Linked DNA regions of Caenorhabditis elegans. The protein of the gene in region 1 interacts with the protein of each later gene in a pairwise test. Each region holds a gene or a part of one and is shown in the gene's direction. Other genes may lie near its edges.

What was found.
Region 2: the proteins of aha-1 (region 1) and ahr-1 interact in binary tests that used the Caenorhabditis elegans proteins (3 or more experiments, as listed by UniProt).

The regions. Positions count from the first base shown.
Region 1 is NC_003279.8:10,191,546-10,200,180, reverse strand, and holds aha-1 (Aryl hydrocarbon receptor nuclear translocator homolog), read left to right. Parts: upstream 1-3,183; 5' UTR 3,184-3,190; coding exon 3,191-3,234; intron 3,235-3,397; coding exon 3,398-3,506; intron 3,507-3,950; coding exon 3,951-4,262; intron 4,263-4,313; coding exon 4,314-4,431; intron 4,432-4,715; coding exon 4,716-4,957; intron 4,958-5,000; coding exon 5,001-5,209; intron 5,210-5,694; coding exon 5,695-6,022; 3' UTR 6,023-6,256; downstream 6,257-8,635. Other genes in the region: Y106G6E.1 (Protein kinase domain-containing protein), read left to right, coding at 274-502, 553-695, 745-937, 1,077-1,351, 1,605-1,721, 1,770-1,895; C25A1.15 (Transposase), read right to left, coding at 2,585-2,860; mrpl-34 (Large ribosomal subunit protein mL43), read right to left, coding at 6,275-6,624, 6,720-6,939; lid-1 (AB hydrolase-1 domain-containing protein), read left to right, coding at 7,349-7,386, 7,442-7,547, 7,594-8,010, 8,053-8,155, 8,203-8,377, 8,424-8,635. UniProt on the Caenorhabditis elegans protein: Transcription factor. Efficient DNA binding requires dimerization with another bHLH protein, such as cky-1 or ahr-1. Regulates transcription of target genes, probably acting in complex with cky-1. Has a role in cellular differentiation.
Region 2 is NC_003279.8:9,519,937-9,527,695, forward strand, and holds the start of ahr-1 (Aryl hydrocarbon receptor protein 1), read left to right. Parts: upstream 1-2,613; 5' UTR 2,614-2,641; coding exon 2,642-2,679; intron 2,680-4,725; coding exon 4,726-4,785; intron 4,786-5,011; coding exon 5,012-5,139; intron 5,140-5,323; exon of another isoform or gene 5,324-5,344; intron 5,345-6,602; exon of another isoform or gene 6,603-6,678; coding exon of another isoform or gene 6,679-6,708; intron 6,709-6,764; coding exon of another isoform or gene 6,765-7,305; intron 7,306-7,354; coding exon of another isoform or gene 7,355-7,443; exon of another isoform or gene 7,444-7,505; intron 7,506-7,759. Other genes in the region: set-32 (SET domain-containing protein), read left to right, coding at 1-65, 179-310, 359-904, 985-1,104, 1,150-1,254; cylc-2 (Lipoprotein), read right to left, coding at 6,679-6,708, 6,765-7,305, 7,355-7,443. UniProt on the Caenorhabditis elegans protein: Probable ligand-activated transcriptional activator. Acts as a transcriptional regulator in GABAergic motor neuron cell fate specification and development.

The DNA.
Region 1 (8,635 bases):
ACAGATTGGGCCAAGTCTTGCCCAATTACTCGTTTGCCAACTTCTGAACAATTTGGACAAGTTAATGCGCAAATGCCGAGATCTTGTGATCAAATGATCATATTAGGAACATTGAATTTTTGAAAATCAAAAACTGTCTAGTAGTCGGTAGGTAACTGTGTCATGTGCGCATAATGCCTCAGTACAATTAACCTATTGATGGAAACATTACAAAAAAAGTGTGAAAGAGCTTCAAGTTTCTTGCAACTTCATCGGAACATTTGAATTTTTCAGATGCATCTCAATCTTCATCATATGAATCTGTTTGCTACTGGAGCATTTTCCAATGTCTACCGTGGAGTTGCTCAAACAGAATCCAATCAGGAAATCGATATTGTGATCAAAAAGACCTGGCCGCGTCACAAAGGATGTCCAATGGAAGTGAAGATTCTTGGACAGTTGGGAAAGTTGAAGCATCGGAATATTGTTCGTTTGTTGTACAGCTATCAGAAACAACATGAAGGTGTGAGCACGCTTAGTTGATAGAATAATAAGCAAATTACAAATATTCAGGTCGTATTTGTCTTGCTCTGATTTTCGAGTACATTCCATTGAATCTTTATCAGTTTCTAAAAGACAAAAACCGCCGGATTGACATTGTAGAAGTGAAGCTTATTGTCTGGCAATTGTTTCGAGGACAAGCACATTTGGAGAAGGTGCAGTTATTTTTTTGAATATGTCTCCCATTCAATCTGGAATTTTAAGGCTGACATTTGTCACAGAGACATCAAGCCTCAAAATCTACTCTACAACGCCGAAACAGGTCTGCTGAAAATATCTGATTTTGGCTCATCGTCCATCCAATCTACAAAATCACCACAGCAAAGTTATCATGTCACGAGATACTACAGACCACCAGAATTGATTTTAGGCTCCAAGTACTATGGATGCAAAATTGGTAAGAAAATTCTGAAAAAATATTCAAATTATCTGATAATTTTGTTAGATGCTTGTTGGTGAATTCTTACTAAGCCCAAGTTTACTATTAGTTACCTTGAGCAAGTCTTGGAGTTTTTTGCTAGAATATAATTTTTCAGACACGTGGTCTTGCGGATGTGTATTTGGAGAGCTACTGAAAGGCGGAATCATCTTGGCTGGAAAATCATCGAACAATCAAGCGGAGGTCATTTTCGATATGCTCGGATACCCAACAGATTCTGATGTGTCATCAATGAAAGTGAGCAGCACGAAGTTGCAGGAAGTTTTGGATTCATATGAATATAATAAATCGAAGACAACTGCCGACTTGACTTATCTCTACACACAGACAGTCATTTATCAGAAGGATCGGAGAACTACAGTCTATAATACGGTAATTATTATACGAAGAACGAGTTCATTGAAAATTCAGACAATTTTCATCAGCGACCGGTTTTAAGTGCTACATTCGGAACCATCTTAACATTTGAAACCGATTTGATGTACCACTAGTCTGTTATTGATTGCGCGGCACAAGCTAGGTACAAGATAGGCACAGAGTAGGCACCAAACGATAAGGCGCATGTGGAATCAAATCGGTTTCAGGCAAAAAGCTTTAAGAAAACCTCCAGAGAGTTGTTTTTCAGAAAATTGAGCAAGATGACATGAAAGAGTCAGTAGCAGTTCTTCTTCAAATCCTTGTCTACAATCCGAACAAGCGTCTCTCTGGAATTGAGATTCTCACTCATCCGTACTTTAATGTGGTAAGTTTATCTGAACCTTATGATTGTCACCTAACATAATGATTTTAGTTATTCAACGAGAAAACGGTGAGATTCAATAAAAAGAAGATTTTGTGTCTTTCTGCAGTCGACTTACAATCCGTGAAATCTGGAGATACAACTTTGACGAATGAATCGGTTGAGCAGACGAGTTGAATTCGAGAAAAGAGCACTGATATTTAGATTATCAATTTTGTAATATATGAACAGTTCTGAATGGGGTCTCCAAATTGAAATATATGTCACTATATCTGTCTTTTTAGAAGCATAACTAATTTGAATATGGAGTTTCGTCCTATGGCTCCTCTGGCGAAGAGCGCCTTGGACTGCTTGGCATTGTACACCAACTTTTTGCCAGAATTTGGCAGCGACAATATTTTTTTCAACAGTTTAAAACAATACAAGAAAGGTTTGGGTCAAAGTTTGACATGAATAAAATCAAACTTATGCCAAACTCTAGTGCATTCTAAATCTACAAAAGGCCGAGTGGAAAAGTCGATCTGAAACAAACATTCTGAAAGCTTGAATTATGTGTGTTTTTTTAGAAAGAAAACTTTAACTTGATAAAAAACTACACTTTTGGAACAATTTCACAAAACTCGAAAGTTGGAAACATCCAAGGAACAGTTTTCAGGTCGATATTTTTTAGTTCAAAGTGCGAGGCATGTAGCAGAATGTTTTATAGGGGCCTATGCAAAAGGTTTTCTTTCAAATAAAAAATGATTTTAATTGAGAGTGTGAAAGTTAAAAAAATTTGATCAATCAATTGTGGTCATTCAACTTTCAAATACTGGTCACACTATAAATGCGTGCATTATTTCACTTATTTTCTTGCATTATCACTATCACATTTTTATATGCCCTATCATCCATCCATCATCTTCTAATTTTTTTCCGTTTCCTCCTTCATCATCCTTAAAAAGTCTCTCCCCTCTAATTCCATCTGTTGCTTCTTCTCTCAAATATCCAGTGACCATATGTAGGGGGGTCACTCTCAATTTCTTTTCATTTCTTTCTCTCTTCATAGTAATAATACGGTCCTCAACGGTGTTTGGTGACGAGGTACTGGACAAATAGAAAAAGCGCGCACGCCCCTCTCTCTCACACCATTCCTTTCCCATCCCCCATCATCCTAAAGAAATATTGATTGGTGAGAGTATATGAAAAATGGAGACTCAGACATACGTATCGCGTGTTTAAAGACATTGTGTCTACAATGGAGAGTATTCTCTGACGCATCTTACTCTAGATTTTCCATACTTTCTCTCTCATCGGGCAAGGAAGCGACGATTTACATAATTAATTGATTTACTCTCGATCCATTGCACAACTTGTTTTAAAATTCAATTTTTTAAATTCTTCACCTAATATATTCAATTGCCTATAATTTGTTTTGGTGTCTTTCAATTCTTCTTTTCGACAGAAAAAAACTTTTCTTTATAGTTTTCAGAATGGCTCAGGATATATTTATGGATCCATGGCAATCGGCGACGAGGTAAGGCATAGTGTGACATTATTAGCTTAAGTTATGGCTTTTTATTGCAAAAAATGTGTTGATTAAAATTGGTTTTCTATGCAATACAACTATTCAGATATGCTTATTGCTGGTTATTTTTGGATACTTCTAAACTTATATTTTAAATTTTAAATAATTTCAGCTTCGCAATGGAAGATGAAGATATGGGCATGCCATCTGGAAAATATGCTCGAATGGAAGATGAAATGGGAGAGAATAAGGAAAGATTTGCAAGGGAAAATCATTCAGAGGTGAGGTTTTGAACATTTATATCTGAAAATTTATACTGCTATGTTTCATTAATTCAAATAAAAAGTACGATACTCTGGGTATTGTTTGACCTGTAAAACTGCAATTTTCATGGGACGTAACACAACTCAAAATTAAATTTCCAGCGATTTTAAATTTTTTAAAAATTTCTACATATGGTGCTAAAATTATCGAGTCATAGAGAACTTTTTAAAAAATTATTTCAAACTGTATAATTAAAATTCAAATAGGCACAATTTTAGAGTTTCACATATCATGAATTCGGAAGCCGACCGAAAAATCTTTCTTTCTGCAAGTATTAAACTAAAAACTAAAAGTTTAAAAATTTGGCAATTTACCAACCCTTTGGTTGAAATTTCTGAAATCAAAATTCAATATGGAAAAAGTAAAATTTCTTGCTTCAAATTCAACTGAAAACGTTTTAGATTGAGCGACGTCGCCGTAACAAAATGACTCATTACATAAATGAATTAGCCGAAATGGTTCCACAATGTGCATCACTTGGACGTAAACCCGATAAACTAACGATTCTCCGAATGGCAGTATCACACATGAAAGGAATTCGAGGACATACGGCACAAGATGAAACTTCATATAAACCATCATTTCTTACGGATCAAGAATTGAAACATTTGATTCTAGAAGCAGCGAATGGATTTCTTTTTGTTGTTTGTTGTCAGACTGGAAAAGTGTTATATGTTGCTGATTCAATTACTCCCGTACTTAATTTGAAGCAGGTGAGCAAGATTTGAATCTTTCATTATTGAAATATAAATATTAATTTTTAGGAAGATTGGCTTCAAAGAAATTTGAATGAACTCATACATCCAGATGATCAAGATAAAATTAGAGATCAATTGTGTGGAAGTGAAGTATCAGTTAATAAAGTTCTCGATTTGAAATCTGGTGAGTTATCATAAAAAGAGAAGAGGAGAGATTCAAGGATTTTTTGAATTTTTTCCAAAGTAGTCATATAACTTGGAACCGTTTACAGTAATAACCACTTACTTCAGTCAATCGAATTAAGTAGTATTTGTTTTAAAAGCATCTATTGTAATTTCACTAGATTTTGGCATGCCCAAAATTTGTGATTTTCCGTCAAAAAGGTATCTGCTCGCTCTTAAAATGTGTGTATCTTTAAAAGTACAGTAACCCACTTCAAGTTAACTATCAAAATCATTGAATTTTAGGATCAGTGAAACGCGAAGGAGCATCAACACGAGTTCATATGTCATGTCGTCGTGGATTCATCTGTCGAATGCGTGTCGGAGCCCTTGAACCACTTCATCGTCTCAGAAATCGCCGTCCCTTATTCCAACATGCTGGTCAAAATTACGTTGTGATGCATTGCACAGGATATATCAAAAATGCTCCACCACAGGGAATTAATGCTCCAGCTTCATCTTGTTTGGTGGCAATTGCCAGGTTACAGGTTAGAATAGTTTACGATGCAGATAAACGTGATTTAATTAAAGGTAGCATCAATGCCGGTCTGTGCTGATCCAACATCAACAAATCAATTTTCGGTTCGTGTTTCGGAAGATGGAAAAATGACATTTATTGATGCGAGGGTTAGTGATTTAATTGGTTTGAGCAGTGATCAACTTATCGGAAGATATTGGTGGAATCTTGCACATCCAGCAGATGAGAAGACCCTTCAAGACTCATTTGTGGCTCTTTTAAGGTAAGTTTTCGTAAAAAAACCTTTTTGAACAATTTGCGTCCATCAAATTTCATATTACCTGCTTTCAAGAGTGTGTGCGGTTTTAAAGAGTACTGCAATTTCAAACTTTCTACTCTGTAGAATTTTCGTCGATTTTTCATAGTTTTTCTCACTATTTGTAAAAATACATGTTGTCTTATGTGAGTTTTTAAACAAATAAATATACCTTTATCAAAAAAACTATGAAAAACCAAAGAGAATTGAGTAGAAACATTAAAATTACCGTACTTTTTAAAGGCTCAAACCTTTTTCATTAAACAAACATTTGTCTTGTCGAGACCAGGTACCGTAGTTTTTTAATCGTAATTTTCGCGGTTCTAGGGAATATTTTCAGGCGAATTTTTCACGAATAATATTCGTGGCGGGACCATTTCGAAAAATGTACTTTCCTTTAAACCTATAGCAGTAGATTCCATGTTAACTAAATAAAAACATTTCCATTTCAGTGACCAACCAATGAGAATAAATATTCGAGTACGTACCAGTACTGATTACATTCCATGTACTGTGTCTGCATACAAATTCATGAATCCATACTCGGAACAGTTCGAATACGTGGTTGCAACACATCAAATTGCTCCACAAGAAGATATTAATAATTGGGTCACTGCACCAACTGTTCCTCAACCTCAAGCCAGTGAATTTGGAGAGCTCGGCGGTGCTCCAAGTGCTGTGGATTACGGACAATCGAGTAGTGGAGGATGGAGACCTGAAGCTCAAGGAGCACCACAGGCACAATGGCAATGGGACCCGATGAATGGATATAACCAGTGATTATAATTTCTAGAAATTGATATATTTTTTTTTGAAGCCTATTCCAATGATTCTCATTTCTATCTACTTCTTGAAAAGTTTTCTTTTTTTTTCAATTTCCTTAACTTTTCTGTTCAGTATTTTTCCTTTTTTCTGGACCAACGAGTTATTCAACTCATTCTGAACACTAAATTTTATTACTAATAATATTGTCAAAAAATCAAAAGAAAACAACGAATAAATGAAAACAACTATAAAATAACGGATTATTGCTTATTTTGGTGGATTTTGAAGAATATATTCCGTCGCCGACGTTGCCGTTGACTTGTGCTTTGAGAACTGTTTCGCTGGAAGTTGTTCCGTGTTCATTTCTGTTGGAAGCCATGTTATCGGTGTCCATTGACCTTGAATAGAAGGAACCAATGCACTTTGACGACTCTCTAGCTTCACAACTGGTTCGCCGCTTCTTGAGAATAACAAATGCACATCTTTGCTCACTTCGTCTTGTGTCATGTTTTTTGCATTGATCTGTAGAGTCCGACCATTTCCATATTCTGCGCGGATTGATGGGTTCGAGTTTCGCACAGGCTGGGCATAGATCACAACTGATGGGTTTTTACGGCCTGAAAAAAACGGATTTCCTTCTTTATTTAAAAAAAAATGAAGCTTTTAATTTAGATTCTCTATTAATTTTTTGATCGTAGACAGAAATTCTTACCGATTTCAACGAGTTGATTCTCAATAAAATTGCGAACTCCGACACTGGATTCACTTTGTTTGCAAAACCTGACAGTGATGCGATGAAGTTGGTTGGTGTAACGCGAGATTCCATTATAAGCCGGAATTTTCAGAAAATCAGAAAATCGCCATCCAAAGTTCAGAGCTTTTGCGGCTGTGTAAATGGGTTTGAGGCGATCAACACGTGGAACCGATGGCATCTAAAAATGAGAGTTTGATAAAATAAACTTTAAGTATAATATTGAAATAGAATATAAGAAATCGTACTGTTAAATTGGCAAAATGAAGAAAGGCAACGGCGCTCTAATGAAAAGAATACGAGCGTCTTGTTCAAAAGCGACGACAGCTGATGCGAAAACAGGTTTCGCGAGGTTATTTACACAAACAAATTTCATTAAAATAGAAAAAACGTGACTAATCATCACATATCAAGAGATTTTGTTGAAAATATCGAGCCAAAAAATTAATAAATTCCATTTGAAGCTCCGAGAATTCTAGGCCACGGCCGTGTCGTACACGAGGACAAAATTTTTTTCCTGTGATTTCTTCTTGTTATTGCACTTTGCCCCCTATTTAGCCACACTCTAGCCAACATTTTTTTGTTTTCAGATGGCAATTGCAACGACAAAAACTGCATTAACAACAATGTAAGTATTTATTAATATTTGATGCTTGCTGTTCAAATAAAACTACGGTTTTCAGAATGAATTGGATGACATTCACGGATGACTCGAAGGAACAACTAAAAATTGTCGAGGGACGTCTGTTTCAGTCTTGCGAAGTATCATACGAAGCCAAATATGTCCCGGTGAGTGAGAAATATTTGTTTCTCTGGTCTGGAGTGTCTTTTTCAGGTCAGATTCAAAAGAGGCGAAGTGTACACGGTGACAGTGAGGCCCAGAGAAGCTGAAAACCTAAACGGCGAAGCAATAGTTTTCATTCCTGGATTGGGCGCTGGTGTTGCAATGTTCACGGCAAATTTCAACAGCTGCGCCAAAAATCATGCTGTGCATTCATTTGATCCACTAGGTTTCGGAAGATCATCGCGATCGAGGTTCAGTGACGACAATGCCATCGCCGAGTTGGAAATGGTTGAAGTGATGGAAGACTGGCGAAAAGCCATGGGAATTGAGAAAATGTACATTATAGGACACGCATTTGGAGGATATTTGGCGAGTGCTTATGCTCTCGAGAATCCATCAAGAGTTGCTCATCTGATTCTAGTAGATCCATGGGGATTCGCTGAAAAAGTTGAAACAACTGAGAAACTGGTAAGAATGTATTGTTTAAGAGCTTCTGATGCTAATAATCAGAATACATGGCTTCAGATTAAACCTTATGCTTGGATGTCCTTCCTTGGAGGAGTTGCCGGATACTTCAATCCATTCTCGCCGATGCGATGGATGGGGCCATATGGTTAGCTGTTCAATCTTAATTATTTAACTTAAAAGATTTTTTTTCAGCGCCGGCAATTGTCAAAAAGTTGCGTCCAGATCTTTTACTCCGATTCCCCGGACTTCATGACTATGATATTTACAAATATGTGTATTATCTGAATCTTCCCAATCCAACTGGAGAAACTGCTTTCATGAATATGACATTGCCAGTCGGTTGGGCAAAAAGACCAATGATCAAAAGGTTTCGGCTGATGAGTACTCGAAATATAGTTTAAAAATAATTTCAGATTCAATGGAATTGATAAAAACGTAGGCGTTTCGTTTATCTACGGCAGCAAGAGTTGGATTGATCCAGGACCGGCAATCGATATTCAATCAACTCGAGAGAATGCATATGTGGATATTAAGATTGTCAGAGGTGCTGGAACTCATGTCTATGCAGATGATCCGGCAGCTTTCAATGAAATTGTATCGGATGTTGTAGAAGGACGGCTTTCGA
Region 2 (7,759 bases), 670 kb from region 1:
TGAACCCGTGCTCCGCAAGAAACATTGCGAAAGCATGTATTATGTCTCAAAAGGAAGAGAATACGGTACTTTATTCTTCTTTCTTTCCCTGAAGATTATTTCTAGTCAATTGTTCAGTTATTTTATGTATTGCTAAATTTAGTTTTTCTTCAAGGTAACAACTTATTTTCTTTTTCAGATTCGTTGTGATTGTTGCTCATCGAATCCAATTGTACCATGCTACGAAAACGAAAACTGCCCGTGCTATAAATTAAACCAAAAACTGCAAGGATTACAAATAAATAGTTCCAGTCACCCTCCTACCAAATTCGTAAGTCCTTCCGTAAGAATATGAAAAAATTTTTAATAAGAAGTTCAGGCGTCGTTTGATCCAGTAATGTTCTCCAATTCGAATAGTACATTCGATAGATGTATTGGATTCTCCTGCTCTGAAGCGTGTGGCTGCAAAGGAAACTGCACCAATAACAGTTTATTAATTCTTAACAAAAAACTGTTTCCGCTCGAGATCTATCGAAGCAATGAAAACGTTGGATTTGGATTACGTTCATCTGTTCTGATTCCAGCTGGCACGGCAGTATTGGAATTTACTGGAGAAATAGTTGAGCGTAATCAACTAGATCGTGACAGTCAAGATTATGCTTATCAGCTCACAGATAAAGACAATTCGAACTGGAGGCGTCTTTTGGATACAATGAAATTCTCTGATGACTATAAAAAGTTTTTGAAGAAGTTGAGCTACGAAGAATTTTTCATTGATCCAAAAGCCAAAGGAAACGTTGGACGAATGATTTGTCATAGCTGTTCGCCGAATTTAGAAATCGTTCGTGTCTACCAGAAAGGTCTTTCACCAGCTCACGTACATCTCGTTTTCATTTCGCTGTTAAACATTTATCCAGGAACACCGGTAAGCTATTTTATAAGTCTTGATTTGGAAATTTTATACCACTATCAATCTAGCTCATAAAGTTTGTTTTTACATTTCAGCTTACAATGGACTACGGATACAACTACATGAAAAATCATCTCAATGGAAAATGCGAGTGCGGAAGTTTTGCATGTTTGAACAGAAAAAGCTCCTGTCATACAAATATGTCATTCGGAGATGTAAGTATTTTTAAATTTGCAATTTTAATATAACATTTGTTTCAGTTCGCAGCTTATTATCGCAAATTGGACCATCAACAGTGGGAAAGTTGGCACAAGAACATCTGCGAACCTCTTTCATGCAACGACGATGTAGTTGTTTTAGATTAAGTGTTTTTGAAGTTTTACCGTTTTTTTTTCTTATTTTTTACTGATTTTCTTTTTTTCGTAAATAATAAACCTTTATAAAATCTTGAATAACGTATTACGCGAATTAGATTAAATCACATTATTCAACCAACTATACGAACCCATTCGAAACGTTTTTTTTGCTAATTTCAATAAAATTGGAGTTCATATCCATATAAACCTCCGAAAAAAAGTGCCAAACGACTTTCAATCAACTCTGCCGGAGACTTCATTTGGCGGAGCAACGAATCGGACGACTCGGGCCCGCCCATCAAAGCTCCGCCCATTTGCAAATGGCTACCAAATTAGGGTGACCTCCTCCAATCTCAATATTCTCCTTTTTCTTTTGTTTTGATAATTTTGATTATAACTGCATTGAAGACCTATATATATATATTGGAAGTGGCTCCTGCCAGCTAAATTCTAAAAATTTCGAAAATAATTTAGATTTGCATTGACCGTAGAATGATAGCATAAGCCGAACGATACAAATAAACTTTATTACTATTCGGAAACGCAACTTTATAACGAAATAATTAGTTTCCAGGTCTCGACGCGAAAGTACATTTTTCGAAAAAAAAGAGTATGCGCCTTAAAGGAGTACTGTAGAGTTTTCCGCGCCCGTCTTCATCAATTTATTTTTAGTTTTCTGGAATTTTTCATTTAGATTTTAGATGATGATGACGCGGTCCAATTTTGTTGTTGAAAAATAATTATTTTTAAGAGAAACATCGTTTTAAAAAACAGAAAGCGGAAAGTACTGTACTTCTTGAAGGCGCAGCGAGACCTGGTACCGTAGTTGCGCGTCAAAAATCTAGTTTCTCACATAAAGTGACAGACCTTGAAAGGTTTGAAGACAACAAATGAGATTCGAAAAGATTAAGTTTTATTTAAAAATATGGATTATATTTATAGTATTTCCGGAAATGACATTAGAAATACTCTAAATGTCTTTAACAAATTTAGATTACTTTCTGCAAAATGACAACAGTAGAAGAAAAACTGATATCGTGATGAGGAAACAATGATACAACTATTTTCAAAAAATATTTCTCGCGGCAGGAACCAAACGAAAACATCTGTGCGCTTTTGAGTACGTCTTGTGGAAAAAAATGTGGAAATCTTTTTCAAGGGTTCAATAGTAATATGGAAATATTAGTCATTAGTCATATTTAAGTTTCTAAAAATTAGTTTGTTTGAGGAATATATTTACAAAACATAAAGGTACTGCCCTTGATGACCTTGATATGCCTGAATTTTCTCCTTACTTTTTGTTTGCTAGAAGATTTTTCCTCGAACTTTTTTATTCTTTCAACAAAAATTTAGATTCAATTATTTTCCAGGTTAAACAGACGTTCGAATTTGTGAAATGTATGCCAGCAAACGTCGCCAGCGGAACTTCAAAAGGTGAATTTCAAGATTTTACCAAAAAAACTAGCATATTCTCGTATTATTCATCCATCAACTACCGTAATCCGCTCCCTCTCTTCTTCATCCGAAATCCATTGAAAATTCTATCCACTTCATCGTCGTCACGACTTTTTGGAAGGCGAATCTGTCCAAAATAAATATGTTACGAAAGTTGGCTGGATTCGGAGGTGATATGGGATTGGAGAGAGGGAAAGAAAACAGTTTAGGTGAAACTAAGAAACATTAAAAATAACAATTGGATTAACATTTAAACATTTTATTATTTTGATAATGCGAGTTCCAAATGCTAATAAGACAACACGAATTGCGCATTTCTACAAATTATTCTCATATTCAAGTTAGCATCTGGTATTTATAATTTACAAATGTTTGAAACTGCTCAAGGAGTTAGAGGTGGAGTAGTATCATAGGGAATTGCCAGTCAACATTTTGGGAAACTCCAAAATTTCAAAAAAACCTTGGCTTTTTGAAAAATTTATAGCTATTTCGTATGTTTGAATTCCTACAAAAAACGTCTTTGATTTTAAACAATTGTAAATAACAGTGGGGTTACCTTATTTTTGAAATGCACTATCTGTGGCACAATTAGCAAAATTAGTTTTTAAAATATAGTAAAACCGAAAACCTACTTAGATTGAAAATTACTTTATGTGTTATGATAGCGAGCAGAAAGTTCTTTCTATTTAAATTCCTTGTATTTTGTCAAAAATGTGAAGTTTAAAAAATACAGGGATCGTTTTTTTATGTAAAAGATAATATGCTCATTTCCAGTTTTTCTTAGCTTGAATATTTTGAGCTGTGAAGAAATAGATTAAAAAGTACAAAACTTGCATAGCCCATTGCTCTAATTTGACAATTCATATCTCGCTCGCCATCGGCTTTTTCAAAAAATGGTCAATTGATGAAATATATATTTAACCTTTTCCTATATTTTTAAAGTCAGCAAATTTTTTGACCAACTCAAAGATAACCTGAATACCAGTATGAGGGCTCAAAGAATGGGAATAGTTACAATGAAAAAAAAACTAGAAAAGTGAGAAGGATTGTAGTCTAAGGCTGTCGTCGTCCTTGGACACGATCGTTTTATTCAGACTGATGGCTTCAAACTGCCTTCTTTTTCTGTTTCTTCACATCTTCTCCACCATGTTCGTGCCATGTGCTCAGATGTGCGTGTGACACGGAAACTGTGCGTGAGGTAGAAGACTCTCCGTCTTCCCAACACTGCTCATTGGCCAGTCCGACGGTCTGTGTATCATTGAATCGTTGAGTCTCTTCTCACTCGCATATCGTGACAATGAAGACTTGTCCACATCAGGATTACTGCACGATGATTCGAAACACGCAAAACTACCAAAACGCACGCCAGTTTATATTTTAGAACCCAGACACTTTTCAGTCAACTTCCCAGTATCCCCTTCTCATGTGCCCTAGAACACGTAGCAACCAAGAGTGTTGTTTGAATTTTTTTTCGATTTTTAGTCTTTCTGAAAAAAACACTAAAATTGTTGCTGTTTCGGTAAAACCTAAAAGTTGAAAAAGTGTAAATATTTTCTAGAACAAATTCTTCATCAATTTGTTTGTATTGATAACAATAGAAGTTCAAGTTAGTACGTTTGATTTTGTTGATTTTCTCTCTCATCTGTTGCTCATCCTCTTCTCCCTCCTATAGAAACATCTCCACCATATGGTGCACAATTATAACAGGCGATAAACATTCACGTACAAATTCCGTAAAGATTCTTCCATGGAAGACCATACGAAATGATTGTCGAGAATTAATTGCTCCACTATGCCATCCTCGTTGAATTTTTGAGTGTTTTGCATGTCATGGAGAGGAGCCAGGTGTGGGAGCTATTAAAATGAGCGAATGTGGAGAAAGAGGGAAAGGGGAACCATATCTAAATGTTACAAGAAAAAACAAATATAATGATAGTGTTTCCAGTTTGACACACCTGTTCTTTTAGTTTTTTTTTATAAAAAAAACAGAACGCATGGGCATATAATCAACTGGAACATTTGCAGGGTACGGGATCCGCCGAAGCAGTTGACTAACACCAATCCGTCGAAACGGCACAGAGAACGGTGAGAATTGAATAAAAATTAGAAATTATTAGAAAATTGTGGACAAATTGAAAATAATTTTACAAATTGATTTTTCATGCCTATACAGTTCAAACTAAATTACTCATGTAATACACTGAAAAATGTTAAGACAAAAAAGCAAAACTGTACGCCTGTCGATTAGTTTTCTAAAAGGCTTAGTCCAAATTTTGAAATATGCATAAATATCTCCGTTTTTAATTTTCAGATTAAATGGAGAACTTGAGACGGTTGCTATGCTTCTTCCTTACGACAGCTCTACCATCAGCCGTCTGGATAAACTCTCCGTGCTCCGACTTGCAGTCAGCTTTCTTCAATGCAAAGCTCACTTTCAAGGTAAGAATTTACGTAACAATGGATATCACATCAAAAGTTATGTCACAAAGAACTCACCTTTTTCCCATCATTCCGAACACCTTAGAAGTCTCACATGCAATATTGACAGAGAAGGTGCCAATTACATGTTCAATGTGTCACATTCCTCATCTTCCGTAACCACTTGATGACCGTACCCTTGACATTCTCTGTGTCTCTCTAATAATTGAAGTGTCTGATAGTATATGTTTATATAGGGAGGGTGTATCATGAGTTATTGACATATTCTTGATATTTGATATGACAACCTGGCTATTAAATGGTCATGAAAGGTGAAATATAGAGACTTTTGCTGGTTATATGGGACTTAATTTTAGTTTAAGAAATTGTAAAAAATCAAAAAAAAAAAAGTTAACTTGAAAACAGTTAATTCAGTTAAAACACAGGTTACTTGATTTTATTCGGAAGCCTTAGTATTTGTGAATATGATATCGCATCGTTTAGTACCATAGTCTTCATAATTTTCCACCATCGCGCCTATATTATTCACTCGTTTTCTTTTTGGACTGGCTGCCAACAGATGCATCAGTTAGAGATCAAACGTCTTAAAGAGAGTACTGAGAAGAATACGGTAGGCGGCAATTAGAAGAAGATGCTCTGCTTGCTCCCTTCGCATGTATGTTATGTCTTTCAAGTGATAAATTGGACATCTCGATTGAATGCGTGATGATGAAGATGTGAGGAGAACGAAGAAACACAAATGGATGAAGAAAAGGGGACCAATAGATGAAAGAATATTAAAAATTCGTTGAGATAATAATTAATTTCTGAATCTGAAACTGGAAGTAAGTACATGTTAGGTCTTCACTTTCAAACATTGATCTACAGTAAGAAACAGGATCAGGGTTGTTAGGCTGTTTGCGTTTTAATATGAATAACGCAACTTGAGAAATGCAAAATGTTACCACATATTAAAAAGTCAATATTTTTTTCGTAGACTCTGCAACTTGATTTTACCAAAAATATAAATTGCCAGATGCCAAAACATCAGCAATTAGAATTTCCAGTTATCAAAAATAATGAAGTTTTTCCGATGACTGTGACTGTTCTGATTTGTAAAACGGACTTTAACACTTACATTAATTCATATTTGTAAACACAAAAGTATTTGAACCTTGTAGAAAATGACTTGGCGAATTGGCACAACTTCTCATCAAATTTTAGCAACTTGAAAAACGCCATTCGCAAATGTTACTCGCAATGTATCTCTTTGAATTACATTTTTTAGCCGAGTAACTTTTAAAATTATATTCTTAGGTTACCCAATACCGAGAACTCTGAAGGAGACTGTTCCAATCAAGTCTAGTCAAAGATTGTTCTTCAGTGGGAAAAATGTTCTAAACTCGGCAAAGAATTACGAGTGTTGTATAGAACGTCCAGCACCTGACGAATTCAAAATTATTAAAACAAAGAATAGAAAGGTAGTAATTTTGATAGATTTATTTGCAAGTAGAGAAGAGACATTTCAGAGTATGAAGGGCTAGTTCGAAAGGATCCTGCTCACTCCTTCTTCTCATCGTCCTTCTTCTCCTGAAAATTTATGTTCAGAAGATTGCTAAAATAAGGGCTTTGAAATATAAACTCACATCGTCTTTCTTGTCGTCATCCTTTTTGTCGTCGTCCTTCTTATCCTCATCTTTCTTTTCTCGTTTGGACTTCTTGGACTTCTTGGATTTTTTGGACTTCTTCGACTTGGACTTGGCTTCTTTCTTATCGTCTTTCTTCTCATCATCCTTCTTTTCATCCTTCTTGTCACCTTTCTTGTCGTCTTCTTTCTTATCGTCCTTTTTCTCTTCATCCTTCTTTTCGTCATCCTTCTTTTCGTCCTCCTTCTTTCCATCCTTCTTGTCGTCCTTCTTGTCGTCCTTCTTTTCATCTTTTTTCTCACTCTTCTTCTCTCCATCCTTCTTTTCCTCGTCCTTCTTCTCGTCCTTCTTGTCTTCATCTTTCTTTTCTTCCTTTTTCTCGTCTCCTTCCTTCTTTTCACTCTTTTTATCGCCATCCTTCTTTTCTCCATCAGCAGGCGCAGCGGCAGCATCTGGAGCAACTGGTGGAGCGTCTGGAGCAGCGGGAGGCGCTGGTGCAGGAGCAGTTGGGGCAGTCATCTTGGATGCGGACTTTGGTGGCCTGAAAAGGAAATCTGTAATTTTCATTCCTGAAACTCCTATAAACTCACGGTGCTTTCTTTTTTCCTCCGCATCCAATAAGCGCAGCAAGTGGGCCAACGAGAAGCAAAATGGCGTGTAGATAGTCCATCGGGCTCATCGTCTTCTTGTCGCTTGGTAGCGTTTATACAATTTTTGTATCGAATATGAAGATTCGTACTGAATTTTTATTTAATTTTTGTTCTTATATGGACAAATAATGTCAGGGTGTCACGCCAAAAAAGTATTTGTGAGAATTATTGAATTCAAAAAGAAAAAATTTATTTTAACATGTAAATTTTCTTACTTTTTCATTAGAGTACGTTAGATCATTTGAATTCCTTCCCTAAAATCAGTTTTCAAAGCTCTTGATACATTTGAAGATGTTCAGAAGTAGGAAACACTCTGGAAGGTGTAAACACTGAACATTTTTTTAA